Linked DNA regions of Xenopus tropicalis. Each later gene encodes a partner of the first gene's protein in a complex. Links are inferred from orthologs where the notes say so. Each region holds a gene or a part of one and is shown in the gene's direction. Other genes may lie near its edges.

Region 1 (10,219 bases):
AAAGATCAGTCAGGACTGTGTCGCTTCGAGAACTTTGCATGTCCTGGCTGTCCTCTTTATTTTACATAGCAATAACTTATTTGCTACAATTAATGGTATGCTAAATAATGAGAAAGAGAAAGCAAAGCACTAAATATTGGTACAAATTTCCATTTTTACTGAAATGTTTCTAATAACTGGTGCCCAAAAAAATAGCATGTATTGCTACTAACCTAGCTGGCCTAGCACTCTCTCACCCTTGCAGCAAGCTCCACGGATCTGGGCTACCAATAGCTAACCTACTTGGCTTGCCTTGATACATGACGTAGCAGGCCTCAGGCTCACAGGATTCATCTGCTCTTGACTTATTTACATCCGTCAAAGATAAAATGGGCCACTATCCTTCCTCTTATATAGCTTCCCTAGAAAAATCCTTCCTTGAGTGCCACAAAGGAGAACCTGCTCAGGCACCTTCCTAGTGACTGGAATACAACTTTTTACATAAAAGAGCATGGGCTGATGAATCCATTTCACATATATACTAAATTTGTGTCAGAACCCGCATAGGATTGTCTATATCCTGGAACCCCTAGTAGTGATAAGGTCTGCTGTCTCTCTTGTTACACCTGGAAGTGTGTCCTGTAAAGGTGAAAAACATCTTCTGAATAACTGAGCCTGCCATCAATTTGTATATGGTTTATCCACCTTCCTGTGCTATAGGCAGGGCATCTGGGCTCTCCACTCTACCAGTAATATACTTTAAAATCTATAGCTATTCCTGGAACCCTGCAAACCATGGCCAATCAGTTTGATCAGTCAATCAAACTAGTGGCAAGTAGAGAAAAGGAAACTGACTAAACGTGGGAGTGCAGGTTTTAAACCATGATTGTCGGGCTAATGAAGAACACAATTTGGCTATAGGATCAGTATTGTGGTATATCATACCAATTATACAGGTATACCAATTTAGGCCTCACAACCATTATGCCCAGAACACACCCAAGTTAGCACCCATCACACCCACAATCTACCAAAAACCAAACCTACTTTCCAATAAATTTTGCCCCACTTGGGGTCAGTAACGGAAGAGTTGTACAGCGAAAAGCACCTTAGGAAGGTGCGGCGTATGCATTACACAGCCATGTCCCTCATCCGCTCTGGTCACACTTCAATTATGCCAAAACCCATGACCCACCCAACCCCTACCCACTCCTCACAAGACCTGCTCCTTTAGTGACCCAAAATCACACTTTTTCATTTCAGTACCACCCTCTGCCATGGGGCCTGACTGCAGTATTCCCTGTAGCCCTGATCACAGCCCTCAGCATAAGAGCCACAATGCCCATGAACTAAGAACTAAGCTGTTATATCTAGCCCTTTTAACTCTGCATCTGCTTTCTAGTTCAAGGTGTCCCTAAATTGTAAAACAAAAATTTGGCCCTAGCTTTTACCTAAATCATTGGGATCTTTTTGCGCCAGAATTAAAAAACATTAAATTTGGTCAATTTCACTCATTATCTTTGTCTTAAACAAGGAATTTTTGTCCTTGCATTGTGAATACATGGGCCCAACAATAGGTATTGTTTGAAACCATGAAAAAAAGTGAAAGAATATACACTTTTTCATCAAACATTGACAATAGAGGATATGGTAGCTGCAGGGATTGCTTTTAACCACCAGGGAAAACTGGGAAAGTTGTTTTATTGTTCCTTGGCCCAAATAGGAACCCTTGTAGGCAAATATAAAAATGAATTACTATTGGGAGCAGAGGCTTTGGTGGAGGCGAATATTATTAGCAGCCAGTAAAAAAGTGTCTTTCTTTGTGCCCTGGCACAAGTGACAAGGCAAGTAACAAATGCTCTTCTTTCAGGAAGAATATATAATCGTTAAATGATCACATGAATACACGTGAATCCCAGTGCCCAATAAGGGAAATTATAAAGCTACTTGCAGCAATTGGTATCAAATATCCATAATTCTCTTAATTAATATTCAGTAACCAGCTACTGGAAAATTGTATTGATTAAAAGTGATTGTCACTTATTGTCATCTTCTTTCAAAAAGACACTGGAATCCTTTTATGCCAGAGTAAAACCCTAAACGCTCTACATTAATTTTTGACAATTTTAGCCATTGTCTTCTCCTAAATTAGCCTTTGTTTTGTCCCTAAATTATAAAATACTTGGCCTTTGGCAATGACCCTTTAACACCATTATGAACAAAAGATCATAAAAACTAAAGATTAGTATGGGTATTTTTATGCATTATAATCTCCTCATTTAGCCTATTTTTGTTCTTAATTTGTGCTTTTCAGCCAAAAAAGGGTTACAGCATTATAAAAATTTCCACTTTTTTTGATAAATCAGATGAGAATCAGCTTCAGCACATATTGTTGGCAACCAGGAAGAACATCTTTTTTGGTTCTCTTGCATTGGTGGGAGCTCTGAGCAGAGATAAAAACAATTGCAAGTTTGGTTAAATATCAGGAGCAGATGCTATTGCTATGGCAGGTAATGCTGGAAAAAGTGTTCTCCTCTTTTGCTCCTGACACAAGTAGAAGTTGTAAGTTGAAAACCCTGCGCCTAATAAAATACTGGGCGCTACTCTAGCTGCAGCTGGAACTCCACAGAATACTTTCACTGGCATATGTGCAAATTCTAGATAGCAAATAAAAGCATGAATTACTTAAGGCTTGGTCAAACATTGGGAGCCAAAGCTCTGGTAGCCGCAACCATGGGTTGCAACTACCACGAAAAAAAAGTATTTTTCCTCTAATAAAAATATAACCAGCAAGCCCAACACGTGCATGCTGTGTCACATCCAACAAGATAGTCAGATTCAGTTGGAGCAACTTTTTTTTGCATAGAATTACATGAACTTTGATGGTGGTGTTCCACAATGGATCAGGTTAAATCTGACCCACAACATCTGATCAAAGGTACTCTTTGGGTTTAGCCCATATTTCCCCATTTTTGGATAGTTGTGGGTGACAGCTTGTGTGGTCTAACTCCTCTGTGAAACAGGGGAAACCCTTTCCAGCGCTAGCCTGCTAGACTACCTTTGGTCAATTTTACTAAATTAAGTATTGTTTGGTTCCACAATAGTGAAAAATCTGACCCTTGTTTACACAAAAAACACTGGGACTCTTCAATGCCTAAAACATTACTGTTAGTATATTTTACCCATTATATTCACCTTAAACAGTCCTCCCTGTATTGTGAAAAATCTGGTTTCACATAAAACTCTAAAAACCCTTGGATGACACTTTACAAAAAAAAAAGGACCTAAAAACTCACGATAACTTTTGGTCAATTTCAGTCATTGTATTCACCTAAAGTAGCCCTTTTTTGCCACAAATTTTGACTAAATCTACCCCTTGCTTTCACAAAAATACTGGGCCCCTGATTCCACTCTAAGAAAAGATCCTACTTTTGCTTCATTCACCCATTGTATTCTAAATTAGTCATTATTTTGTCTCCAAACTGAGATGAGAATCAGCTTTAGCACGTATTGTTGGCAACCAGGAAGAACATCTTTTTTTGGTTTTCTTGCATTGGTGGGAGCTCTGAGCAGAGATAAAAACAACTGAATGTTTGGTTATACATGGGCAGCAAATGCTATGGCAGGTAATGCTGGAAAGTATTCCCCTCTTTTGCTCCTGACACAAGTAGAAGTGTAAGTTGAAAACCCTGCGCCTAATAAAATACTAGGCGCAGATACTCTAGCTGCAGCTGGAACTCCACAGAATATTTTTCCTAGCATATGTGCAAATTCTAGATAGCAAAGAAAGCATGAATTACTTAAGGCTTGGTCAAACATTGGGAGCCAAAGCTCTGGTAGCAGCAACCGTGGGTTGCAACCACCACGAAAAAATGTATTTTTCCTCTAATAAAAATATAACGAGCAAGCCCAACACAACCTCACTAGTGCCCATAACGCACTACCCCACTCCGCGTTCCCTCACCACTCCCACTGGGCGGCTACGTGCGGCGTTCCAGCGCTTATATACGTGCTGTGTGACGTCATAAACTCGCGAGATGAGCGGTGTGACGTGCGGATTCGCTGTCCGGCAGGAGTTAAGGAGCTAGACCCTAACGGGGCTGAGGGACTTTTTAACAGCGATCCGGGACTGCGGGCTGTGATAAGAAAATCGGCACTGTCCCGGAAAAAGAGGGGCTGTTGGGCGGTATGTGGCAAGGCAGCAATTAGGGTGCCCAGAAGGTTGCCTGCCTTTCATATTTACAGCAGTCATTGATGTAATGTAATAATGTATCAATAATACTTAGTACTGAAGGAGTCACTGGTGCTGTTTTTTATACAGTAGTAGTCTGTACTGTACATCAGAGCAAGCTTCTCTTTAACCCATTCCTAACTATTTCTGTACTACAATCCCAGTATCTTCACACAACTAAATCTGTATGTTGGGGGCTTGGGATCATCATATTTGGGAACAACGTGTGGCCCCCCACATAAATAGCATTTATTTGCCAGTTTTTTACAGTCAGAGGCTACTTCTAGGCTGTACCCCTTCTGACCTGGGCTTGCTAATTGTGACCCCAGTTTAGAGTAACAGATGGAGCTTGCTGGGCATGCATAACTTCCAAATATCTGTCCCGCTGCTGATTGGGGGGGGGGGGGGGGGCTTAAGAAAGGGTTCTTGTAATAAAAAAAGGAATTTAAAGTGGGGCGCACAGCTGATTTTAAACCCATGTTTGAATCAGATTCTTTGTAAGTGCCACCCGTAAAGAAATAATATGAACAGGTGATTAAAGTTCAATAAAATGTAATACTATTATTTTTTAAAGGAAACATGTCAATCTAAGATATAATTCCAAATCCCATTTTTAGTCATGTTAGTCAAAGTTTACTTTTACTACATAAGTGTTGTCCAAATGCTTACATGGTGAGGCCAACATTTATTTATACAGCATGTTTAAGTCGCAGATTATATTGAAAAGATGATGTCATACAGTGAAGCCCCCCCCCCACCCCCCGAGAAGACTGGGGTCCTGTGGAAGGCCACATCAGACCCAAGACCTCCAGTTGGACTATATATTCAGTCTTGGAAGTTACAATCACAGCAAAAGGCAGGCACCAAGCATTGCATTGTTCAGAATTCTTGTTTATGCACCAGAATGGGGGACCTGACACCCATTCACAGGCTACACAATGATTGTCAGTGGAGGAAAGTGACATCTAGGAAGTGCAAAATGGAAAGTGAAAGTGATTGCTATGTCTGAGGCACAGAGGTGCGGAATCCAATATAGGACTGACAACTGAACTTTTTAAATACATTTGAAACAAGTATGGATGTTTTAATAAACAAACAAATTTGGGTTTCATAATTTGCAAAGGACTTTTATTATACAGCATGTTTTTTTTAAAACGCATCAGTTAATAGATCTTCTCCAGCGGAATCCTGCACTGATATCCATTTTTTTAAAGCACAAATTTTTTAATATTTAATTTTAAAATTTCGCATGGGGTTAGCCATATTCTTCGATTCCCAGGGTGCACAGTCATGTGACTTGTGCTCTGATAAACTTCAGTCACACTTTACTGCTGTGTTGCAAGTTGGAGTGATATCACCCCCCTCCCAGCAGTTGATCAGCAGAACAGTGGGAACGGAGCAAGATAGCAGCTCCCTGACACCTGTATTGCTAAAAGTGGTAGATCTCATAATAGCACTCCGTAGAAAATCCAAGTCCGGCTCATGACTCCTTCAGTTACATTGAAGTAGGAGAAATAATAGGTTACCTGAAAGCAGTTCTAATGTGTAGCGCTGGCTCCTTCTGAAAGTTCAGACTCAGGCACAACACACTGAGATGGCACCTACACGCCAATTAAAAAAATATGTTTTGCAATTTAGAAAGATAAAGTGCTTCATAAAATCATGGCAGAATCCCTTTAAATTCTTTGTTTGACCAACTAAACACCTCAACTCATCACTGAATTCTAGTATCCTAAAATGTAATCCCAGTGTCGGCTATGTCAGTCGTGCTGCACATCTTTTTGCATGCGTGCTGCTTCAAGTGCCAGATGGGCACGAAATGCATTAGGCCGGCATGTTATCTAAATACAAACTTTTTTACTTTTTCTAAACTTTTGGCCTGTATGTTGAAGCTTTTGTTGGAGTGGAAGTCCTTTTGTTTTTACAGATGATAATGTAACTATATTCCTAGTGTTGGTGATGTTATGAGGCAAAGTTTCGTAGTTCTATAAGGCCCGTAGATATGGAGACTGCTACCTCTGTGAAACCCTATATTCCTTAGACCAATCTTATATTTTATATATAGTTTCTTTACAGATAAGACCGTGCTACACATGGGACACTGTCAGTATGATATTCCAGTGTGTCTTAAAGGGGTTGTCAAAACAAGTCAAAAAGTTTATTTATGATTTGTTTCCCCCTGCTTTTTCACCTTGTTTTTCCTTGCTTTGCTTAGATCCAGCCAAACTGTAACATACGCTGGGTGATTTGTCTACATTTTTCTTCAAAGCCATTTTTTGTTAATACATTAGACATTCCTTAAAGGAGAAGGAAAGGCTAATAGAGTTTCTCAAGCTGCAGGCATACCTTCAGTTCTCTCAATAGTGCCCTTACGTCTCCCCATATTTCTCCTGTTCAGATGATCAGAAGCCTCATAGGAAAAAAAAAAGCTGAGCTCTGAGTTCCCATAATGCCTCGCTCCTGCACCAAGACCGGTGTAAATGCGCAGTTTGTAAGACAATGAGGAAGTGTCCTGCTGATTGGCTCAGATCCACATTCCTAAGGGGGGGGTGAGTTCTTAGCATTCTTGAGGGAGGGGGGAGCAGGAGAGGGGAGAGAGCTGTGAGTCTCTGACACAGGAAAACAAAGAGACAACAAATCTTTTGACAGTGGACTCAGTGCAGCGTTTCTGTGAGTGCTTATGGCTGTATTTACATAGACCATTCTGATAAAGCTTACTTAGTTTTTACCTTTCCTTCTCCTTTAAATAGTGGCCAGAAATTGACTTGTATCTGTTGTGCTATTAAAGTGCTCTTACATAAAAGGTATCATAAACATGTGATTGAAGTCTCAGGAATCACTGGGGGCTGTGAATTGCATATGTAGTAGAGTTTATTAGTTATCTGTTCTGCATTGTCCATTTCTGTGCCAGAAATGAGCATGTTGTGGCTGTGCAAATAGAAACACTCATAGACTAGCTCCAGTTTTCCATATACAGCAGCCCTATGCAGTTCAAGATATGGCTTCATCATTGTTCTCTCCTTCTGGGATTTTTTTTTTTTCCTGATCTTTCTTCTCCTTTTCATCTGGGGTGAGAAACCATGTGGTCAACTGCATAGTATTCAAGAACGCCAGAGTTTATGGTTGAGTTCTGGAACCACTGTTCTGACATGAATTTTAGATTTTTCATGGCCTTGTAGTTTAGGAATAGTCGATTTTAGTGTGGGCTTGTCCAGCTGAATAGGGCCATAATGGCACTGGCATGATTTGTATGATTTTTATTAGTTGGGCAGTGCCACTACTTTTTCCAGAATTTCCCACTATTGCAGTTGCTGTCAGGGAGTTGTTAGGCAGTGAATTGAAAACATGGCAGTTTCAATTTCTAAGTGATAACTGCCTGTCACACAAACACTTTTCGTTTATTGCTATAGCAGCAAATAATGGTTGTGTATTTTAGTTTTGCACCATCCTCAAGCAACTTAAAATTCTGGGTGCTACAGTGCCAGTAGTTACTCACCATAGTTGTGTGCCAGCCCTAAATGGATAACTACGGAGTTGAGGTAACTGCCTTTGCATAGATGTAGCATTATACCAACCTAGGCATTCTTTGCAGAATTTGCACTTTAAATCAACGTTTGCTGCAACAGCTTAGATTGAAACTGCTTCCAATACACAGCGCCCGATGAACACATGATTAGTTTTTAGTTTGTCCCTGTTTGCAGTTCGTGAATATATTTTATGGCCATCTGTTTGCCATTTTGTGTATGACAGCTTTGCTTTGGCGCTCATTTTTTCACTTTGCATTTTTTTCTGACTGCTTTCTCTGTGACGCTGTGCATTTATTGTGTGATTGATCCCCTGTTCATTTACTTCTGTTGGTACACTGCATTCATTTCTCACTTACTGAAAATATAGTGCTGACTGGTGCATGTATCCACTTAAAAAGTTTTGGTTTTTTTAAGGGCTAAGATTTTCTTACCTCTTGTTTGTGCACAGTTCTTCATTTTGTTATGATTTTTCCTTCATTTGCGTTTCTATTGTATATTGTGAAGATCTGTGAGAGGCAGTGACTAAAACAATGCAAAAGCAGATAATAGGCTAGTGTCACACACCAGCTTTTCCAACAGCTTCTTTATGTCAGTGGAGAAACTGCTGATTCTGCTTCCTACCTCTCAGTGTAGAAGCTCAAATGTGCATTTTCTACTTGAAACGTGCCATTTGTTTGCAGTGACAGGCAGATTGTATTCTTGTCACTGTACACAAATGTGGGGCAAAAGGTAAGTGAATCAGTTGGTTATCTACTGGTGAAAAAACACGGATTCAGCCCCTACCTGGGTAAGTGTGCAGTGATGGGAATTTATTCAACCTTCGCAAAACTTACAGGAGCATATTTCCTTCCAAAATCAGTTGTCCATTTTCAGGCCAGAAGCCACCCTATGTGCTCAATAACATGCATATGTCTTTCCTTCATCTGGATGCAGCAAATATCTTTACCCTGTTGAGGTCTTTCACAGGACATAATTATGCCTAAAGAAAATCTACCTTTTAGACACTTTACCTTGGTATTTTAGTACCATAGAAAGTGTTAATGTACTGTTACCGTAGTGTTAATTTAGACTTGACTAACAGAACTCTGGTTCTTCACCGATGTAGAATGCCCTACTGGTTGGTGTGTTTTTATACATTACTTAGAGATTTTGTATAGATATATGCTGGGTATCAGATGTAGACTGTTGGCTTTTTCAACCCACATTAACTGTGTAATTATGTACGCTGGAGGTCTTTCAAATATAGATAGTTTTTTTAACAGAAAACTTCTGAATATATTTTGTACATGCTGTAATAAACTATGCAATAGGCACAGACACTTTGTTATTTAACTTTTCTTTCTTATATCACATTGTCTATAATTTTAGGTGGTGGGTGGCGTGATGCTTACACTGGCAAGCAAGTTGAAGCGGGACGATGGTGTTAAAGGAAGTAGAACATCTAGCACAACCTCTGATTCAACACGCAGAGTGTCTGTTCGTGACAGATTACTTGTAAAAGGTAGCGTTTGAACACCCATCAACTGACTTGCAATGCAGAGAATTAACATATTTATCATTGTTATATATTATTATACAGTATGTATATGTATACAGGCCACAACTTGCTCTGCACTCTCTAAAGGAACTGTTCATTGCAAAAATGAATATAAATAGATAGGTTGTGCAAAATCCAAAATATTTCTAATATACTGTAGTTAGTTAGCCAAAAATGTAATCTATAAAAGCTGGAGTGAGTGGGTGTCTTACTTAATAGCCAGAACACTACTTCCTTCTTTCAGCTCTCTAACCTCAGTTAGTCAGCGACTTGAGGGTGGCCATATTGGACATAACAGTTCAGTTAGTTTGTGAGCAAGCAGGTCAGACTCAAAAGCAAACAGGTATGTCCCATTAAGTTAAGTTCTGGCTTTTATGTAAGAAACCTACTCACTCCAGCCTTTACAGATTACATTTTTGCTTAACTTGCTGTATTGAAAACATTTATTATTTTGCACAACTTATATCTGTTTACCCAGTTTAGTTTTTTAGTTTAGGTCCCTCTTCTGTGTTTCTCAGTACCCACTCAGCAAGACTTTTTGTGCTCTGCTGAGCAAGGTCTTTAGTACAGCTTAGTGATGGGGAACTTCCTGGCATGTTACACTCTTAAGGTTCATGGTAATTTCCATTACACCATTGGAATACTGCATTACTGCATCAAAAATGAAAAGCCCAAAGCAAAATATTGCAGATCCCCCATTTTTTACATAAATCCAACCTTATTTCAATCTGGCATGATCGCAGAAAGATGGCAAAGAATATGCTCAGGGGCATATTTATTGTAGTGTGTAAACGAACATCACCGGGGATGTTGCCCATAGCAACCAATCAGGTCTATACTTTTGTTTTGTAACTTGTAGGTGACCATTCAAACTTAATTTCTGATTGGTTGCTATGGGTTACATAGGTTAACTATATAGGGTAAAAGCGCTGCATAAATTGATGG
Region 2 (10,348 bases), about 35 Mb from region 1:
TATCTTGTCACAAATATATCTAGAAGTTGTAGTCCAGGTGTGTCACCCCTTTGAAAACAGTAACAAACAGAGTGAGTAGAAGATCCAGATGCCGACACAATGGTTGACAGTTAAGTACTTTGATTGACAGTCACTATTTATTGGGCTGGTGGGGGGCTGTTTGGGCTTCTGTGTAGATATTATTTCAGGGCCTATTTTAAATCAAAGCAGTCACTGCCTCAGTTTCCTTCTACAGAGAACTGTGAATGAAGATTAAGTTGGGTCCTAAGCAATCGGCATATACACAAAGACATTCCCATATTTTTTGTGGGTGGGGGGGTTGTAACAATTACCCCTGGTTCACCAGTACAAATGAAAAATATTGGTCAATTATATTGGATGGGTGTGGAAACTTAGGTGCACTCTATTATGAATGGAATAAATCTTGGACCCCCCCCCTTTTATTACAAATAGGTTCCTTGCTGAATAATTTGAGTGACTAACCAGCATGAATGGGAATGACCCTGTTCTGCAGTGCAACACAGTGGCAGCTTTGATTTACAGAGTCCATCTTGTGGTTAAACCTCATCATACCGCAAACATGGCTTGTGATACAACAATATAATTTAATTATGATAGATCTGCTGCCATGACTAGGAGATTTCATCATATGACTTTAAATAAACAGGCTTGGCTTGCTTCCTGAGCTTTTCCTGGGTACGCAGAACTTTACTGTGTGGGACGGCAAGTCCCAGTGGAGGCAGATGGATCTGTGAATAAAAATTAGAGTTTATTCTGTAAATGCTTCTCTTGGAAAGGGTACAAGCAGCAGGGAGAAAGGTAAATGACCAACAACATAGCAAATAGGTGAGTGTAAGGGCTAAATAAGTGCAAAGAGCAGGGCAGAGATAGATCTGTGCAGAGTTAAAGGGAATAAGTAGTATCTAGGAAGAAGGGCAGAGACAGAAGGAAAAACATGAAGGGGACAGGAAAGAAAGTAACAGTATTTGGTTTGGGAGGGAAGTAGGACTAATGCTTACAGGCCTGGGGTATGGATTCCTATAATGCAATCCAATCTCCACTCTTGCCTTGCATTCTTCTATACACATTTTAATCATCTGAAGATCTGTAATCTACAAAAAAAGAACAGTGCTTACTGGTTATATGTGGCACAGCAGGATCACAAAGACGTGGCAGTTAAGGGAGACTAATAGCAAAAATCCCGCCCCCCCCCCCCCAAATCTTGTAGGCAATAGTGAATATTATTCCTCCTTTCCTGGAGCTCCCTATATGCTTGTGTCCCTGTTTGTGTCACCAATGAGAGGTGGGTGTGTCTTAACGGTCCCTGCCAGAAACACAGTAGGAGAGGGATAGCCAATCACAGCCCCGCAGTCACACAAGCAAATACAGGCTCCAGTTCCCTATCAGGTCAGCCTAGCTGCTGATTGGTTCCTGTTTAACAGTGCTCCCCTGCACAGCCTGCGAAAGGAGGCAGCAGAAAGTAGAACAGATGGGTTGGACTAGTAGCATTTTGGTGGAATTTCTCAATAAATTTAAAAAAGCATAATCCTTCTATATATATACACGTATAATGCACTGGCACATTCTTGTATTTTACACAATATTTCTCCTTAAGGGTTAACATATAACACATTTCAGGATTACAGGAACCCGTCAGTATCACTATATATTCTAATGTGTTAACATTCCATGCCCCGCCTACACTCCGGTTTCCAACCCTAGATGCCGCTTCTAAAATGGCTGCTGTAGAAGTGAAATTTGACGTTGGGGGTTGGGTAAAGACTTGATTGGTTAGGGCAGAGTTTATATGGGTGCTCCAGCCTATCATGTCCAAGACCTGTCCCCAAGAATAATGCCATTGCTGCAGCGACCCAGGCTGAAGAGGTGTAAGGTGTTGGGTAGAGGTAACAGGACTGTGCAGTTCCGCCCCCTGATAAATACAGGCCTTTATTGGGAGCAATAGTTGCCCCTACATAAGCCCAACAGTACTTTAGTGCCCCACGTGATCCTGATGTGCTAGAGGTTAAAGGGAGAGCCTGCCCATAGGGAACCCACGTACAGCACAGTTATATGTACCTTTTTGTTTTTATAGAATAACTTTCTAGCTTCATCCACAATGTATTTTTTCTCTTTTATAGTTTCTTCCTTAAGTCCTGATGCTGCCTGCCATTTTCTTGCTATTCGGAAAATCTGCCGATAAAGGCTTAAAACCTCGTGACGGGTCCCCATTGTAACCTGCAATTAAAAAAAAATTATGTATGTATGAATTGAAAAGAGAAGCAGAGAGACCTCACACTCATCTACTAAAAAGTGTTGTTCAACATTGTATAAGTTATACAGTTATACCGTGAAGTCTATGGAGCCCATGGGCAGGCTGGGGGCCATTAAAATCATTTTGAGGGCCTCCAGTTGGACCGCCCTAACTCCCTGCAGCTCCACCCATGTTACCTCTGGTGGGGGCACCAGAGGAAATGAATTGGGGGAACTGTGGGGTGGCAGGGGATTTATTCATATTTTAAGGACATGGAAAGTCAAAATGATCATGGGTGTCATTAGTCGGACACCCCGCCCAGGGAACAATGGCTAACCTCCTTCCGGAAAAAGTGGACTGCTTACAGAATGCTGTGCTGCCACATTCAGGCTTCCCTGGCGCTGTTCTGGGTGTATGGGCGCTATAGTACTGGCATATGGGCACCATTTACTACAGACATTTAGGCTTCCCTGGCACTGTTCTGGGCATATGGGCGCTATAGTGCTGGCATATGGGCACCATTTACTATAGACATTTAGGCTTCCCTGGCGCTGTTCTGGGCATATGGGCGCTATAGTGCTGGCATATGGGCACCATTTACTACAGACATTTAGGCTTTCCTGGCGCTGCTCTGGGTGTATGGGCACTATAGTGCTGGCATATGGGCACCATTTACTACAGACATTTAGGCTTCCCTGGCGCTGTTCTGGGCATATGGGCGCTATAGTGCTGGCATATGGGCACCATTTACTACAGACATTTAGGCTTCCCTGGCGCTGTTCTGGGCATATGGGCACCATTTACTACAGACATTTAGGCTTTCCTGGCGCTGCTCTGGATGTATGGGCACTATAGTGCTGGCATATGGGCACCATTTACTACAGACATTTAGGCTTCCCTGGCGCTGTTCTGGGCATATGGGCGCTATAGTGCTGGCATATGGGCACCATTTACTACAGACATTTAGGCTTCCCTGGCACTGTTCTGGGCATATGGGCGCTATAGTGCTGGCATATGGGCACCATTTACTACAGACATTTAGGCTTCCCTGGCGCTGTTCTGGGCATATGGGCGCTATTTACTACAGACATTTAGGCTTCCCTGGCGCTGTTCTGGGCATATGGGCACTATAGTGCTGGCATATGGGCACCATTTACTACAGACATTTAGGCTTCCCTGGCGCTGCTCTGGGTGTATGGGCGCTATAGTGCTGGCATATGGGCACCATTTACTACAGACATTTAGGCTTCCCTGGCGCTGTTCTGGGCATATGGGCACCATTTACTACAGACATTTAGGCTTCCCTGGCGCTGCTCTGGGTGTATGGGCGCTATAGCACTGGCATATGGGCACCATTTACTATAGACATTTAGGCTTCCCTGGCGCTATTCCGGGTGTATGGGCACTATAGCGCTGGCATAGGGGCACCATATACTATAGACATTCAGGCTTTCCTGGCGCTGCTCTGGGTGTATGGGCACTATAGCGCTGGCATATGGGCACCATTTACTATAGACATTCAGGCTTCCCTGGCGCTGCTCTGGGTGTATGGGCACTATAGCGCTGGCATATGGGCACCATTTACTATAGACATTTAGGCTTCCCTGGCGCTGCTCTGGGTGTATGGGCACTATAGCGCTGGCATATGGGCACCATTTACTATAGACATTTAGGCTTCCCTGGCGCTGCTCGGGGTGTATGGGCGCTATAGCACTGGCATATGGGCACCATTTACTATAGACATTCAGGCTTCCCTGGCGCTGCTCTGGGTGTATGGGCGCTATAGCACTGGCATATGGGCACCATTTACTATAGACATTCAGGCTTCCCTGGCGCTGCTCTGGGTGTATGGGCGCTATAGCACTGGCATATGGGCACCATTTACTATAGACATTCAGGCTTTCCTGGCGCTGCTCTGGGTGTATGGGCACTATAGCTCTGGCATATGGGCACCATTTACTATAGACATTCAGGCTTTCCTGGCGCTGCTCTGGGTGTATGGGCACTATAGCTCTGGCATATGGGCACCATTTACTATAGACATTCAGGCTTTCCTGGCGCTGCTCTGGGTGTATGGGCACTATAGCACTGGCATATGGGCACCATTTACTATAGACATTCAGGCTTTCCTGGCGCTGCTCTGGGTGTATGGGCGCTATAGCGCTGGCATATGGGCACCATTTACTATAGACATTCAGGCTTTCCTGGCGCTGCTCTGGGTGTATGGGTGCTATAGCGCTGGCATATGGGCACCATTTACTATAGACATTCAGGCTTCCCTGGCGCTGCTCTGGGTGTATGGGCGCTATAGCGCTGGCATATGGGCACCATTTACTATAGACATTCAGGCTTCCCTGGCGCTGCTCTGGGTGTATGGGCACTATAGCGCTGGCATATGGGCACCATTTACTATAGACATTCAGGCTTCCCTGGCGCTGCTCTGGGTGTATGGGCGCTATAGCGCTGGCATATGGGCACCATTTACTCTAGAATATTCCCATAACATAAGTGCACATAATACCTGAGAGGAATGTTGGTGGGTAGGAATTGCAGGGGGTTAGTGATAGGAGTCACAGGGTACCACAGGGTGACTTTTGCCCTTTCAGAGTTTCTGTTCCTATTTGTGGGCAGATTTACCGGACTCCCTACCCACCCCCTATATGTATAACCCAGGCCCCGCCCTCCTTCAGTAGAGCAGCTATAGTTATATATAGTTATATTACAGAGAACCCTCAGTATCACCGGCAGTGACAGCGCACCTACACCTACAGGCCGAGCACTGCCCCTACCCAGCATGCACAGCGCCCCGCCCCAGCTCTATACTGCCCAATACTGCCGCTGTGACTGACCTGACGGTACCACGCCTCTTCCGCGACACAACACGCCCCCCCCCCTGACACCGAGACACCCGTGGGCGGACTCCGTGAGAATACACTGATGTCACTTTTTCTTTCCTCCCTTGTTTAGCCTGTGACGTCGGTAGAAGTGCGCCGGGCGCAGCGGGCACGTCACGGCTGGAGGAAAGGAAGGAGGGGGAGCTGGAAGGTGCGGACGTCGCAGGCTCACAAGTGATTGGGGCGCTGCCGGTCCCCCTGTAACACCTGAGGCAGAATGGGGCAAAGCGGGAAGTGATGCGGCAGCCATGGTGAGCGGGGGGGGGCTTTGTGTGTGTGTGTATGTATGTATGTGTGTGTGTGTGGCCGCTGGGCTCAGCCCTGATATATACAGTCTGTACCTATTGTTCCACTGCAGCTCCGCACTTACCCACCCAGGGAATAGCCACGGCTGGGGGGCTCCATGTTGGATTATTATACCCCCCCCCCCAGCCAGGGGCTCCTTGTGTTGCTATGGGGCCACATCTCCGCTACCTGCAGACTGAGGCCCCTCACACACACACACCCTACTGTATCGGTAATGGGGAGGCCCTGCAGCTGTTTGGGGATGGTTTCCCCTGGCAGCTACTGAACTACAACTCCCTGCTGTTCTGCCATGGGCTGATACTGGGACTTCTAAGGGCTGGAGAGGCTGAGCACCTCACTACCCCCATGGGCAGAGATGTAGTTGAACTATAACTGCAGATACAGTGGCTGCAGATCCCTAGCCAGAACAAACAGGGGAAAGTTGTGTTTTAAGCATTAGGCAATGAGGCTGTGACCCCAAAATCCATACAGACAGCAACACAAGGGGTCAGATCACTGTGCCGAGACATTATAGCTTCCTTCCCTGCCACAGATAGGGGGGCAGTTATTGGCCCCAGGGCTGGGGTTAGTTAGGCTGTCACTTATCCTGCTATTCTCTTTATATTCAGTCTGATCTGGTTCGATGGAACCAGGATCTTTTTTATACTGCATGGGGGATGGGTGGATTAGTCTGACAAAGCAAGAAAGGCATTCATAGTTTTATATGGCCTTTATATGACTGTAATTAGGACAATGACTCGAGATACAGACGCCACATATTAAGGTGGCTATACACTATCTGCTCATTTGGCCAGGTTGCCGAACGAGCCGATATTTCCCCCTGATATTCCCATCATTACAACAATGTTGGAGCCGTCAGAACAAGAACTGGGTCTATGTGTCAACCAGCCCAATCCATATCCGGGCAATTTGTAGCCAGATATCGGTTGGGCAGGCCTGTCGGGGGGTCCTCATACACGGGCAGATAAACTGCTGATTTGGTCTAAAGCTGCCCGAGTATGGCTACATTATAAAACAGACCATTGCATATCAAGGAACCTATAGGCCTAGCAGATAGGGGCATGTCCTGACATGTTGTACCTAAAGATATTGTTCTAGAATGGGCCAAGAATGTGAATTGAATTTGTTTATCCACATAGGAGATCGTTGGGATTGTAGCAGCTGTTTAATATCAGCATTTGTATGCCCCCCCAACTATGATTTTGATCTGTATTATAATATATGTAGTTACATTTCAACATATAAATAGCATGATTTGAGTTAGTGTTATAAGTATTGTATGTATCTCTCATAGTCTGGGGTTTTACCTTGTTTGCTGGATTATTTGGAGGCCTTCTGTTTATCTTTGTGTTTTATATAGAATCCCATTATTTGTAAAGCAACAATGGCTGGGGCCTATTAGCATGGGAAAGAAATGTGTGCTCTGGGGACTGTCTAAAAAGTGCCACGTAGGTGCTAAATGGCTTACTTTGTGTTAATTAGCTTTTATCACAATGCTTGGCTATAAACAATGATGGGAGGCTTTTTCTTTAGGGCCATGGCAGACGGAGAGATTATTCGCTGCGATTTCGGGAAATTGCGGCGCCGCATATGCCATCCCACCGGTGATTTACATTCTCGCCGGTGGGAGGCCATTTCAGGGAGATTAATCTCCCCATCTGCCGTGGCCCTTAGGGTGAAGACACACAGAGCTACTAGTAGCAGCTACTTGTCATGGCTACTAAAACAGACAATGCTGATCATTTACTGATAACTGTCTCCACGTGTGTTTTAGCAGAGGCAATTCTCAGTATTGTAAGGGCAGTGGCACAGGGGGAGATTAGTCACCCGTGATAAGGGCCATGGCCCGCGACTAATCTCCCCAAAATGCCACCCCACTGGCTAGAATGTAAATCATGGTGGGATGGCATACGCAGCGCCAAAATCCCTAAATTTTCCTTTCAAGACAACTTCCGTGATTTCAGCAAATCACCGTCCCGCGTATGCCATCTCACCGGCGATTTACATTCTAGCCAGTGGGATGGCATTTCGGGGAGATTAGTCGTGGGCCCTTAATCTTCACTTTTGTTGGCGACTAATCTCCCAGACAAGAATGTGAATCACTGATGGGATGGCGTGTTGCTTTGGTTTTCCTAAGTTTCCTTGTGAGGCAAAACCGTTTCCTCTTTCTAATGCCAACACACAGGCTTGGTTACCAACACTGGGTAATTTGCACCTGCAGTAAACCACTGGCATTCTGACTTCTATTGGCATGAAATCTGCTGTGTGTGTGCCTACAGGCTGATGGTGTCCCCCATTGGGCAATAGCCTGAGACTGCTGTAACAATCTGGTGATACAGGAACCCTATAACAGTGAGGGTATCTTCCATAGCTCTGCAATTTGGTGTTCTTGCAAGGCTGCCATAGGTCGATGATTGGCCATATTCTGCTGATTACAAAGTCAATTTAAGATTTTTGCAGTTTCAGTGCGGGCCTATAGCACTTAAAGAGCTTCAGCAGAACTGTAAGTGTTTTGATCTTCTTGAAAGATTTTTGGAATGCACCAAATTATGGAGGGGCAAGTTCTAAGAAGGGCATTCTGCTTTCATGGGCTGTGTAGACAGGAACTCCATGACTGATGTAAAGGTTCTGTGTCAATAGGGGCAGTCAAGTAACCCATAGAAATCAGTTGAACATTTTACTGTATGTTACCAGGCCCGGACTGGCAATCTGTAGGTTTTGGCAAATGCCAGAGGGGCTGCTGTAAGATGCCATAGGCAGTCACTATTTATTGGGTTAGTGGTGGGCTGTTTAAGGCTTCTGTGTACTTATAATTCCAGGGCCTATTTTAAATCTGGGCCTGCATGTTGCTATATAACCCTACGTGTTAGTTACTGTATATGCCATGCCACTTCTAGCTGCCAGGTTTTACACTGCCTCTATGACGAGGGTGCTGAGATAAGGGTAACACTATAATTGGGTGGCTCTGCGCAATGGTTGTGAGAGGTGGATATTCTCAGGACAGAGCTGTCACATATTGTTATGCTTATTTCTTTTATAAGAGCAGATTATATGCCGCTTGCCCAGGATTGTTTATTCCAGCCCCTGACGTTAATTGTGTTGCCCATTCAGCAGAAATCGATGGTCCAGATGCATAATGTTTTGCCTGACCTTCTGCCTAATTGTTTAATACCTTTAAAGCCATACGCCATTTGGTTTTATGATGGATCTAAAGCAGGGAGTGGGGTGGGGTATCTGAGCTAACCTACTTGGCACGAGGATGTTGAACATTGCATTAGGCAAAGAATGTAGCAAGCAGGATTCCAATGAGCGCCGCTACCAGCAGGATTATGCTACAGGGCTATTGTAGCTCATACTTTTGTTTTTTTAATATTTGCCTTTATCTTGTGACTGTCGCTAAATTAAGAGTTAAAACTGATTTTTTCAGGCATGGACAGGACACTACAAATACAAAGGGAATGATACAGTGGAGGAAATAATTATTTGACCCCTCACTGATTTTGTAAGTTTGTCCAATGACAAAGAAATGAAAAGTCTCAGAACAGTATCATTTCAATGGTAGGTTTATTTTAACAGTGGCAGATAGCACATCAAAAGGAAAATCGAAAAAATAACTTTAAATAAAAGATAGCAACTGATTTGCATTTCATTGAGTGAAATAAGTTTTTGAACCCTCTAACAAAAAAAGACTTAATACTTAGTGGAAAAACCCTTGTTTGCAAGCACAGAGGTCAAACGTTTCTTGTAATTGATGACCAAGTTTGCGCACATTTTAGGAGGAATGTTGGTCCACTCCTCTTTGCAGATCATCTCTAAATCCCTAAGGTTTCGAGGCTGTCTCTGTGCAACTCTGAGCTTGAGCTCCCTCCATAGGTTTTCTATTGGATTAAGGTCCGGAGACTGACTAGGCCACTCCATGACCTTAATGTGCTTCTTCTTGAGCCACTCCTTTGTTGCCTTTGCTGTATGTTTTGGGTCATTGTCGTGCTGGAACACCCATCCACGACCCATTTTCAGTTTCCTGGCAGAGGGAAGGAGGTTGTCGTTCAGGATTTCACGATACATGGCTCCGTCCATTTTCCCGTTAATGCGAATAAGTTGTCCTGTGCCCTTAGCAGAAAAACACCCCCAAAGCAAAATGTTTCCACCCCCATGCTTGACGGTGGGGACGGTGTTTTGGGGGTCATAGGCAGCATTTTTCTTCCTCCAAACACAGCGAGTTGAGTTAATGCCAAAGAGCTCTATTTTGGTCTCATCAGACCACAGCACCTTCTCCCAGTCACTCACAGAATCATTCAGGTGTTCATTGGCAAACTTCAGACAGGCCTGCACATGTGCCTTCTTGAGCAGGGGGACCTTGCGAGCCCTGCAGGATTTTAATCCATTGCGGTGTAATGTGTTTCCAATGGTTTTCTTGGTGACTGTGGTCCCTGCTAATTTGAGGTCATAAACTAACTCCTCCCGTGTAGTTCTAGGATGCTTTTTCACCTTTCATTGACACCCCACGAGGTGAGATCTTTCGTGGAGCCCCAGAGCGAGGTCGATTGATGGTCATTTTGTGCTCCTTCCATTTTCGAACAATTGCACCAACAGTTGTCACCTTCTTTCCCAGCTTCTTGCTAATGGTTTTGTAGCCCATTCCAGCCTTGTGCAGGTCTACAATTTTGTCTCTGACATCCTTGGACAGCTCTTTGGTCTTTCCCATGTTGGAGAGTTTGGAGTCTGCTTGATTGATTGATTCTGTGGACAGGTGTCTTTTATACAGGTGACTAGTTAAGACAGGTGTCCTTAATGAGGTTGACTAATTGAGTAGAAGTGTCTAACCACTCTGTGGGAGCCAGAACTCTTAATGGTTGGTAGGGGTTCAAAAACTTATTTCACTCAATGAAATGCAAAT
Region 3 (9,552 bases), on another chromosome or scaffold:
TCTACTCTTTTTCTTTCAAAGTTTAAAGAGATACTTTGGTTCTACTGAAAAGTCTTCTAAATGATAAATAAAGAAGCTCAGGAGTTTAAAAAGGATTTTGTTTAAAGGAGGACTAAACCCTAAAAATGAATAGGGACCGAGTCCTGGATTCAGTGTGGGACTTGCCCAAGATCTGGCTTTTTTCAGCAGGATTTGGATTCAGTCGGATCTATGCATCTGGCCGAATCTGAATCATTGAAATCACATGACTTTATGTCACATAAACAGAAGTTGAACATTTGCAAATTCAGATTCGGTTCAGTATTTGGCTGAATCTTTTGCAAAGGATTCTGGGTTCGGCCAGATCCTAGAATAGTGGATTCGGTGCATCCCTAAAAACGAATATGGCTAAAAATGTCATGTTTTATATACTGAACTTACTGCACATCTGAACGTACTGTCAGCATCTCTATAGCAGCAATGATTCAGGTATTTACAGTTGTCAAATTAGATGGTGGGCTATTGGGGGCATCTTCAGGGGCCCAGATATTTCCAGCTATAAAGGGCTGGGGTTGCCTTGGGCTGGTACAGAAACACACAACAGTTCTAGCCTACTTCTTTAGTTACACCAGAGATCCCCAACCTTTTATATCTGTGAGCCACATTCAAATGGAAAAAGTGTTGGGGAGCAACACAAGCATAAAAATGGTTCCTGGTGGTGCCAATAAGAGCTATAATTGGCTACTTAATAGCCCCTATGGGGACTGGCAGCCTATAGAAAGCTCTCTTTGGCATTATACTGGGTTTTATGCAACCAAAACTTACCTCCAAGCCAGGAATTCAAAAATGAGCACCTGTTTTGAGGCCACTGGGAGCAACATCCAAAGGGTTGGGGAGCAACATGTTGCCTCTGAGCCACTGGTTGAGGATCACTGAGTTAGACTGTAGTTCTCGTTTAATGTTATAATCGCTTTTCCAGTGTTCATTGGAAAATCCTGTCCTTTCTACACAGTTATTAGTTGCTGAATCTGCTTTACTTATATAGATCCTGCTGGTTGTAATATGTGGGAGTATGTTTTTCTTGTAGTTTACCTATTGTTAACGAGAATTCTTCCTCTAGATGTCTCTTCTAAACTATGAAGACGGCGTGTTGCAGCAAAGTACGGTCATTCCCTTAATTGATGGAGGGACAGAGGGCTTTAAAGGAAATTCCAGAGTTATCCTACCAGGAATGACAGCCTGTGTAGAATGTACCCTTGAATTATACCCACCACAGGTAATTACACTAGCAAGGTTGCAATTTTATCCTATAAGCCTAAATAGGATCCTATAATCCTAAATAGGATCTGCTGCAGCATGCCTTACCAACATTCTTATCAAACCATCTGTAAAATATTTTGTGAATTCGGGTCTTTATTGTTGTGCATTGTTAAATATACTAATACATTGAGGATCAGGTATAGACATTGCCATATAATTCAGTACATGTATGGGACCTGTTATGCAGATTGCTTGGGACCTGGGGTTTTCTGGATAAGGGATCTTTCCGTAATTTGGATCTCCATACCCTAAGTCTACTATATAACAATTAATAAATTAAATAAACATTAAACTCAATAGGATTGTTCTGCTTTTAATAAGGATTAATTATATCTTAGTTGGGATCAAGTACAAGGTACTGTTTTATTATTAAAGAGAAAAGGGAATCATTTAACCATTAAATAAACCCAATAGGGCTGTTCTGCCCCAATAAGGGGTAATTATATCTTAGTTGGGATCAAGTACAGGTACTGTTTTATTATTAAAGAGAAAAGGGAATCATTTAACCATTAAATAAACCCAATAGGGCTGTTCTGCCCCAATAAGGGGTAATTATATCTTAGTTGGGATCAAGTACAGGTACTGTTTTATTATTAAAGAGAAAAGGGAATCATTTAACCATTAAATAAACCCAATAGGGCTGTTCTGCCCCCAATAAGGGGTAATTATATCTTAGTTGGGATCAAGTACAGGTACTGTTTTATTATTACAGAGAAAAGGGAATCATTTTTAAAAATTAGAATTATTTGCTTATAATGGAGTTTATGGGAGATGGCCTTCGAGTAATTCGGAACTTTCTGAATAACAGGTTTCCGAATAATGGATCCAATACCTGTACTATAAGAAAACAGATCCTCATGTGGTAGTATTTGTCATTGTAAAATCAACTATAGTAAAATTATATGGATTTGGGATGGGTTCATATTTGGGGCCAGGTCATACTAGAGCTGTTCATCTAATGTTATAATACTCCTCCATTATGTTTATAATGTATGCTGTTTATAGGTAAAGGTTATGATTTAAAAACTACCGTCATACAATGTGATGGAATAGTGGTCTATTAGGGATATGTGGGCCAGCCCGATACCCGAGGGTTCAGTCCGACCTTGGCACAACGTTTGCGGGTCGGACCTTACACTGCTGGGTTCTGGCTCTTTGATTTATAGGCGCGTGTCCATTCACCCCTGTCCTGCCCCTTTTGTGACATCATCGGTGGGTGGGTCAGGCATGGGTCTATAAACAGAGGGGACTAACCAGGTCGGGTAGGGTTTGGGCTGGGAGTGGGCTGGTTAGGGTCTAGCACGGGCTAGTGCTGGGCGGTATGACCAAAAATTTATATCACGGTATTTTTCAAAATTATATCGGTATCACGGTATTTGACGGTATTTTTTTTTCCCCATGCATGATTAGGTGACCACCCCAAACACCCGCCACCCGCACCCCCCCCACCACCCCAAACAACCCCCCATCCGCACGCAGCCCCCCCACCCCCCCATCCGCACGCACGCCCCCACCCCACCCCAAACACCCCCCCATCCGCACGCACCCCCCCACCCCAAACACCCCCCATCCGCACACACCCCCCCATCCGCACGCACCCCCCACCCCAAACACCCCCCCATCCGCACACACCCCCCCCACCCCACCCCACCCCAAACACCCCCCCATCCGCACACACCCCCCCATCCGCACACCCCCCCCACCCCACCCCAAACAGCCCCCCATCCCCTTCACATAAATATAACCCCCCACCCCATCACAACCCCCCCAAACACAACCCCATCCCCTTCACATAAGTATAACCCACCCACCCCAAACACCCCCCCATCCCCTTCACATAAATAACACCCCCCCATCCCCTTCACATAAAATATAATTACTTGCCAGGCACCCCCCCCCCCCCCCGACAGCTCACATTGGTATCCGACTCTGAATGCGTCCTAGCGATGGCGCTTTTGTAGAGTGTGCGCGCTGACGTCACGCGCGCACCCGGAAGTATTCACGCACACCGGTATGGGGGTATGTAGAAAATTCATATCGGTTTAAAAAAAAACACCGGTGATCGGTTTTTACCGGTATACCGCCCAGCACTAGCACGGGCTGAGATTTACTTGACCTGCACATCACTATTTTCTATACCTGACATTCTGTTATATTAGAAATTTCCCTATTAGAAGTGGCTCTCATTTTGTGGCTATTTTGTGAATCTTATTCATCTATTGCAGATCAACTTCCCCATGTGTACAATAGCATCTATGCCCAGATTACCAGAGCACTGCATTGAGTACGTTCGGATACTTCAGTGGCCAAAGGAACAGCCATTTGGAGGTATTGTGCCTCATGGAATCTGTCGGGTTTGCCCGACAGGACTGGCCCATTATAATAAAGGCAACAGTAACTAACATTGATGCCACAACAGCACCCGAGATATCATTTGCCCTTACGTTGTCAGCATCCCTCTACAATGTGCCAGCTTTACCAGTCAGTTGAAAATGTTCCGTAAATACCAGTGAATAGTTTTGGTAATCACAGATGTTGCAGTCTATTGGATCACTATAAAGCGCAAGGCTGTTACATACGTTTTAACATTTATATTGGTAACGTGAATCATGGTTTGTTTCTGCTTATAGAGGGCGTGCAATTAGATGGGGACGACCCTGAACACATCCAGTGGATATTTATGAATTCGTTGGAGAGGGCGAAACAGTTCAACATTCGAGGTGTCACGTACAGACTTACTCAAGGTAGATGTCGTCTGCAGCAAATTTGTATTTATTTTTATTGTAACCATTTATTACTGTGCATCCCATATGCAATCATGGGGGCAGATTCAGAAGGGCAAGCTGTGGGTTCAAATTCCAGAGGGGCTGCTGCAAGATGCCATAGACAGTCAATATTTATTGGGCTTCTGGGGATGTTGTAAGTGTAATTGCAGTCACCTGTCTGTCTACAGCTTACCGGTAGCTCATAAGAGCAATAGACACTTTAAAATTGATGTCAACTTAAAAAAATATCATCTACACACGATACTTTGTTCATATTTGTAACTTGTTTCATGTTTCAATCTTGTCTACAGGTGTTGTAAAGAGAATTATTCCTGCTGTAGCCTCTACAAATGCTGTAATTGCAGGTAAACACAATCTATTCCATTAATAATTCCCTATTTATGCTTATATTACACTAGCCCAGTGATCCCCAACCAGTGGCTCGGGGGCAACATGTTGCTCACCAACCCCTTGGGTGTTGCTCCCAGCGGCCATAAAACATGGGCCCATTTTAAAATGTTTTATTTTCTAACTTGGAGGCACCATGTGTACTGCCAAACAGAACCTACTGTAGGCTGCCAGTCCACATGGGGCTACCTACGAACCAATCACAGCTCTTATTGATCATCAACCTTAAAAGGCCGAATCTTGACCAAATCCCGAACCGAATCCTGGATGCTGCCATAGTTTTATTTTAACTGTTTAGCCTATGGGAAAACCTAATGGGCTGTTTCTGCTGATTTTCTGAGACAATTTTTTTTAATTTTTTGTAGTTTCGGTTAAATAGCTTTTTCAGTTATATAGCTCTCTACTTTGGAATTTCAGCAGCTATCTGGTTGCTTGGGTCTTGTTTACCTTAGCAACCAGGCAGTGGTTTGAATGAAAGACTGGAAGATAAATAGGAGAAGGACTGAATAGAAAGTTAAGTAATAAAAGTAGCAATAATAAAATAGTAGATAATGTTTTGATTTCTGGAGTCAGTGACCCCCATTTAAAGCCTAATGGAAACATTATGAGTGGGATGTATTACTATTTCTCACTTTTTCCCTAGATTGTATGAAGATTTACTGACCCTTCTGACATTGCAGCCATACCTAAACTTTCTTATCCACTCCCCTTTCTAACGTTACCCTTAGTCTGTACAGAGAGACAGTATATACATTTAAACATTGGTATTCTACTATAATAAAGGGGTGATTCAACTTTAGGTTAATTTTTAGTATGTTACAGAATGTCCTACTCCTAGCAATTTTGCAATTGGTCTTTTTTTTTTTTTTTTTAGTTTTTTTAATTCTGTGTTTCACAAGTCTTAAACACATGTTAGGCCCCAAAGATGTACAGTGGAGGAAATAATTATTTGACCCCTCACTGATTTTGTAAGTTTGTCCAATGACAAAGAAATGAAAAGTCTCAGAACAGTATCATTTCAATGGTAGGTTTATTTTAACAGTAGCAGATAGCACATCAAAAGGAAAATCGAAAAAATAACTTTAAATAAAAGATAGCAACTGATTTGCATTTCATTGAGTGAAATAAGTTTTTGAACCCTCTAACAAAAAAAGACTTAATACTTAGTGGAAAAACCCTTGTTTGCAAGCACAGAGGTCAAACGTTTCTTGTAATTGATGACCAAGTTTGCGCACATTTTAGGAGGAATGTTGGTCCCACTCCTCTTTGCAGATCATCTCTAAATCCATAAGGTTTCTGCTTGAGCTTGAGCTCCCTCCATAGGTTTTCTATTGGATTAAGGTCCGGAGACTGACTAGGCCACTCCATGACCTTAATGTGCTTCTTCTTGAGCCACTCCTTTGGTGCCTTTGCTGTATGTTTTGGGTCATTGTCGTGCTGGAACACCCATCCACGACCCATTTTCAGTTTCCTGGCAGAGGGAAGGAGGTTGTCGTTCAGGATTTCACGATACATGGCTCCGTCCATTTTCCCGTTAATGCGAATAAGTTGCCCTGTGCCCTTAGCAGAAGAACACCCCCAAAGCAAAATGTTTCCACCCCCATGCTTGACGGTGGGGACGGTGTTTTGGGGGTCATAGGCAGCATTTTTCTTCCTCCAAACACAGCGAGTTGAGTTAATGCCAAAGAGCTCTATTTTGGTCTCATCAGACAACAGCACCTTCTCCCAGTCACTCACAGAATCATTCAGGTGTTCATTGGCAAACTTCAGACGGGCCTGCACATGTGCCTTCTTGAGCAGGGGGACCTTGCGAGCCCTGCAGGATTTTAATCCATTGCAGTGTAATGTGTTTCCAATGGTTTTCTTGGTGACTGTGGTCCCTGCTAATTTGAGGTCATTAACTAACTCCTCCCGTGTAGTTCTAGGATGCTTTTTCACCTTTCTCAGAATCATTGACACCCCACGAGGTGAGATCTTGCGTGGAGCCCCAGAGCGAGGTCGATTGATGGTCATTTTGTGCTCCTTCCATTTTCGAACAATCGCACCAACAGTTGTCACCTTCTCTCCCAGCTTCTTGCTAATGGTTTTGTAGCCAATTCCAGCCTTGTGCAGGTCTACAATTTTGTCTCTGACATCCTTGGACAGCTCTTTGGTCTTTCCCATGTTGGAGAGTTTGGAGTCTGCTTGATTGATTGATTCTGTGGACAGGTGTCTTTTATACAGGTGACTAGTTAAGACAGGTGTCCTTAATGAGGTTGACTAATTGAGTAGAAGTGTCTAACCACTCTGTGGGAGCCAGAACTCTTAATGGTTGGTAGGGGTTCAAAAACTTATTGCACTCAATGAAATGCAAATCAGTTGCTATCTTTTATTTAAAGTTATTTTTTCGATTTTCCTTTTGATGTGCTATCTGCCACTGTTAAAATAAACCTACCATTGAAATGATACTGTTCTGAGACTTTTCATTTCTTTGTCATTGGACAAACTTACAAAATCAGTGAGGGGTCAAATAATTATTTCCTCCACTGTATATAAACCATTTTGTGGTGTAACACATCAATAATGTGATCACTTTTTTTTTTTTCTTCTTTTTAATTCCAGCTGCCTGTGCCACTGAAGTTTTTAAAATAGCAACAAGGTAAACTTTAGGAACATTGGATTTATATTGATTTGCTTTCCTTTTCTGTCAGTTTAATGATTGAAGTCTCTTTTCATAGCGCCTACATCCCACTGAACAATTACTTGGTGTTTAATGATGTTGATGGATTATACACTTACACCTTTGAAGCAGAAAAAAAGGTTTGTACTGTCTGTTATTTTCCTATTCAGCTGCCAAAAAGGATTTTTTTTTTTTACTGGTAGAAGGCACATTTCCCCATTGTTTAATAAAAATGAGTTACATTTACCAGGATACACACATGACCTTTGTTATTTGTAAAGGCCTTAACAATCCTGATGTAACTACAGATATGTGTATGTTTTGGAAATACTGATAGACTAATTAAAAGTAGTGTTTTTCCAGGGCTTTACGTGTCCTTTATGTCTTGCCCTACTAGCAGCAGGAAGCTTTTTTTGGGGGGGAAAAATATTTTTTTATTTTATACAGGTTGGGATCCATTATGCAGAAAGGCCATCTCTCATAGACTTCGTTATAAGCAAATAATTCTAATTTTTAAAAATCATTTCCTTTTCTCTGTAATAATAAAACAGTACCTGTACTTGATCCCAACTAAGATATAATTACCCCTTATTGGGGCAGAACAGTCCTATTGGGTTTATTTAATGGTTAAATGATTCCCTTTTCTCTGTAATAATAAAACAGTACCTGTACTTGATCCCAACTAAGATATAATTACCCCTTATTGGGGCAGAACAGCCCTATTGGGTTTATTTCATGGTTAAATGATTCACTTTTCTCTGTAATAATAAAACAGTACCTGTACTTGATCCCAACTAAGATATAATTACCCCTTATTGGGGCAGAACAGCCCTATTGGGTTTATTTAATGGTTAAATGATTCACTTTTCTCTGTAATAATAAAACAGTACCTGTACTTGATCCCAACTAAGATATAATTACCCCTTATTGGGGGCAGAACAGCCCTATTGGGTTTATTTAATTTACATTATTATTACATTAACATTTATTTATAAAGCGCCAACATATCCTGCAGCGCTGTACCCTAAGTGGGTTTCATACATTGGACATACAGAGTAACATATAAAGCAATCAATAACCGATACAAGAGGTGAAGAGAGCCCTGCCCAAAAGAGCTTACAATTTAATGGTTAAATAATTCCCTTTTATCTGTAATAATAAAACAGTACCTGTACTTGATCCCAACTAAGATATAATTACCCCTTATTGGGGGCAGAACAGCCCTATTGGGTTTATTTAATGGTTAAATGATTCCCTTTTCTCTGTAATAATAAAACAGTACCTGTACTTGATCCCAACTAAGATATAATTACCCCTTATTGGGGCAGAACAGCCCTATTGGGTTTATTTAATGGTTAAATGATTCCCTTTTCTCTGTAATAATAAAACAGTACCTGTACTTGATCCCAACTAAGATATAATTACCCCTTATTGGGGCAGAACAGCCCTATTGGGTTTATTTAATGGTTAAATGATTCCCTTTTCTCTGTAATCATAAAACAGTACCTGTACTTGATCCCAACTAAGATATAATTACCCCTTATTGGGGCAGAACAGCCCTATTGGGTTTATTTAATGGTTAAATGATTCCCTTTTCTCTGTAATAATAAAACAGTACCTGTACTAGATCCCAACTAAGATATAATTACCCCTTATTGGGGGCAGAACAGCCCTATTGGGTTTATTTAATGGTTAAATGATTCCCTTTTCTCTGTAATAATAAAACAGTACCTGTACTTGATCCCAACTAAGATATAATTACCCCTTATTAGGGGCAGAACAGCCCTATTGGGTTTATTTAATTTACATTATTATTACATTAACATTTATTTATAAAGCGCCAACATATCCCGCAGAGCTGTACAATAAGTGGGTTTCATACATTGGACATACAGAGTAACATATAAAAGCAATCAATAACCGATACAAGAGGTGAAGAGGGCCCTGCCCAAAAGAGCTTACAATTTAATGGTTAAATGATTTCCTTTTCTCTGTAATAATAAAACAGTACCTGTATTTGATCCCAACTAAGATATAATTACCCCTTATTGGGGCAGAACAGCCCTATTGGGTTTATTTAATGGTTAAATGATTTCCTTTTCTCTGTAATAATAAAACAGTACCTGTATTTGATCCCAACTAAGATATAATTACCCCTTATTGGGGGCAGAACAGCCCTATTGGGTTTATTTAATGGTTAAATGGTTCCCTTTTCTCTGTAATAATAAAACAGCACCTGTACTTGATCCCAACTAAAATATAATTACCCCTTATTGGGGGCAGAACAGCCCTATTGGGTTTATTTAATGTTTAAATTATTTTTTAGTAGACTTAAGTTATGGAGAAACATTCTGGAAAACAGGTCCAATACGTGTATGGGGCCTGTTATCTGTAAACCCATTATCCAGAAAGTTCAGAATA

Evidence for each region.
Region 2: the proteins of ube2f (region 1) and dcun1d3 are in contact, whole or in part, in a crystal structure (PDB 4GBA), measured with the Homo sapiens proteins. The link is inferred for Xenopus tropicalis from reciprocal best matches to the Homo sapiens genes UBE2F and DCUN1D3. Residues at the interface, in NP_001265234.1 of Homo sapiens: Leu2, Thr3, Leu4, Lys7, Leu8; in NP_775746.1 of Homo sapiens: Glu108, Glu109, Glu112, Pro122, Thr123, Glu124, Met139, Cys140, Glu194, Ile204, Ala207, Leu208.
Region 3: the proteins of ube2f (region 1) and uba3 are in contact, whole or in part, in a crystal structure (PDB 3FN1), measured with the Homo sapiens proteins. The link is inferred for Xenopus tropicalis from reciprocal best matches to the Homo sapiens genes UBE2F and UBA3. Residues at the interface, in NP_001265234.1 of Homo sapiens: Thr27, Arg28, Arg29, Val30, Asp34, Lys35, Val38, Lys39, Val41, Ala42, Glu45, Val54, His55, Phe56, Pro57, Asp58, Pro59, Asn60, Leu62; in NP_003959.3 of Homo sapiens: Ala401, Thr403, Thr405, Leu406, Glu407, Gly408, Asn410, Arg411, Thr412, Ser417, Val418, Thr419, Ser420, Ile421, Arg424, Thr425, Gln442, Glu443, Ala445, Ala447, Asp448, Val449, Thr451, Pro452, Gln453, Thr454, Leu456.

The regions. Positions count from the first base shown.
Region 1 is NC_030685.2:59,014,397-59,024,615, forward strand, and holds the start of ube2f (NEDD8-conjugating enzyme UBE2F), read left to right. Parts: upstream 1-4,063; 5' UTR 4,064-4,165; intron 4,166-9,105; 5' UTR 9,106-9,120; coding exon 9,121-9,238; intron 9,239-10,219. UniProt on the Homo sapiens protein: Accepts the ubiquitin-like protein NEDD8 from the UBA3-NAE1 E1 complex and catalyzes its covalent attachment to other proteins. Together with the E3 ubiquitin ligase RNF7/RBX2, specifically neddylates cullin-5 (CUL5).
Region 2 is NC_030685.2:24,467,853-24,478,200, reverse strand, and holds the start of dcun1d3 (DCN1-like protein 3), read left to right. Parts: upstream 1-5,270; 5' UTR 5,271-5,382; coding exon of another isoform or gene 5,383-5,396; intron 5,397-10,348. Other genes in the region: lyrm1 (LYR motif-containing protein 1), read right to left, coding at 633-749, 1,020-1,112, 2,077-2,229. UniProt on the Homo sapiens protein: Contributes to the neddylation of all cullins by transferring NEDD8 from N-terminally acetylated NEDD8-conjugating E2s enzyme to different cullin C-terminal domain-RBX complexes and may play a role in the cell cycle progression by regulating the SCF ubiquitin E3 ligase complex, after UV damage.
Region 3 is NC_030680.2:141,986,578-141,996,129, forward strand, and holds part of uba3 (NEDD8-activating enzyme E1 catalytic subunit), read left to right. Parts: intron 1-1,099; coding exon 1,100-1,255; intron 1,256-3,524; coding exon 3,525-3,627; intron 3,628-3,929; coding exon 3,930-4,043; intron 4,044-4,375; coding exon 4,376-4,429; intron 4,430-7,073; coding exon 7,074-7,110; intron 7,111-7,189; coding exon 7,190-7,271; intron 7,272-9,552. UniProt on the Homo sapiens protein: Catalytic subunit of the dimeric UBA3-NAE1 E1 enzyme. E1 activates NEDD8 by first adenylating its C-terminal glycine residue with ATP, thereafter linking this residue to the side chain of the catalytic cysteine, yielding a NEDD8-UBA3 thioester and free AMP.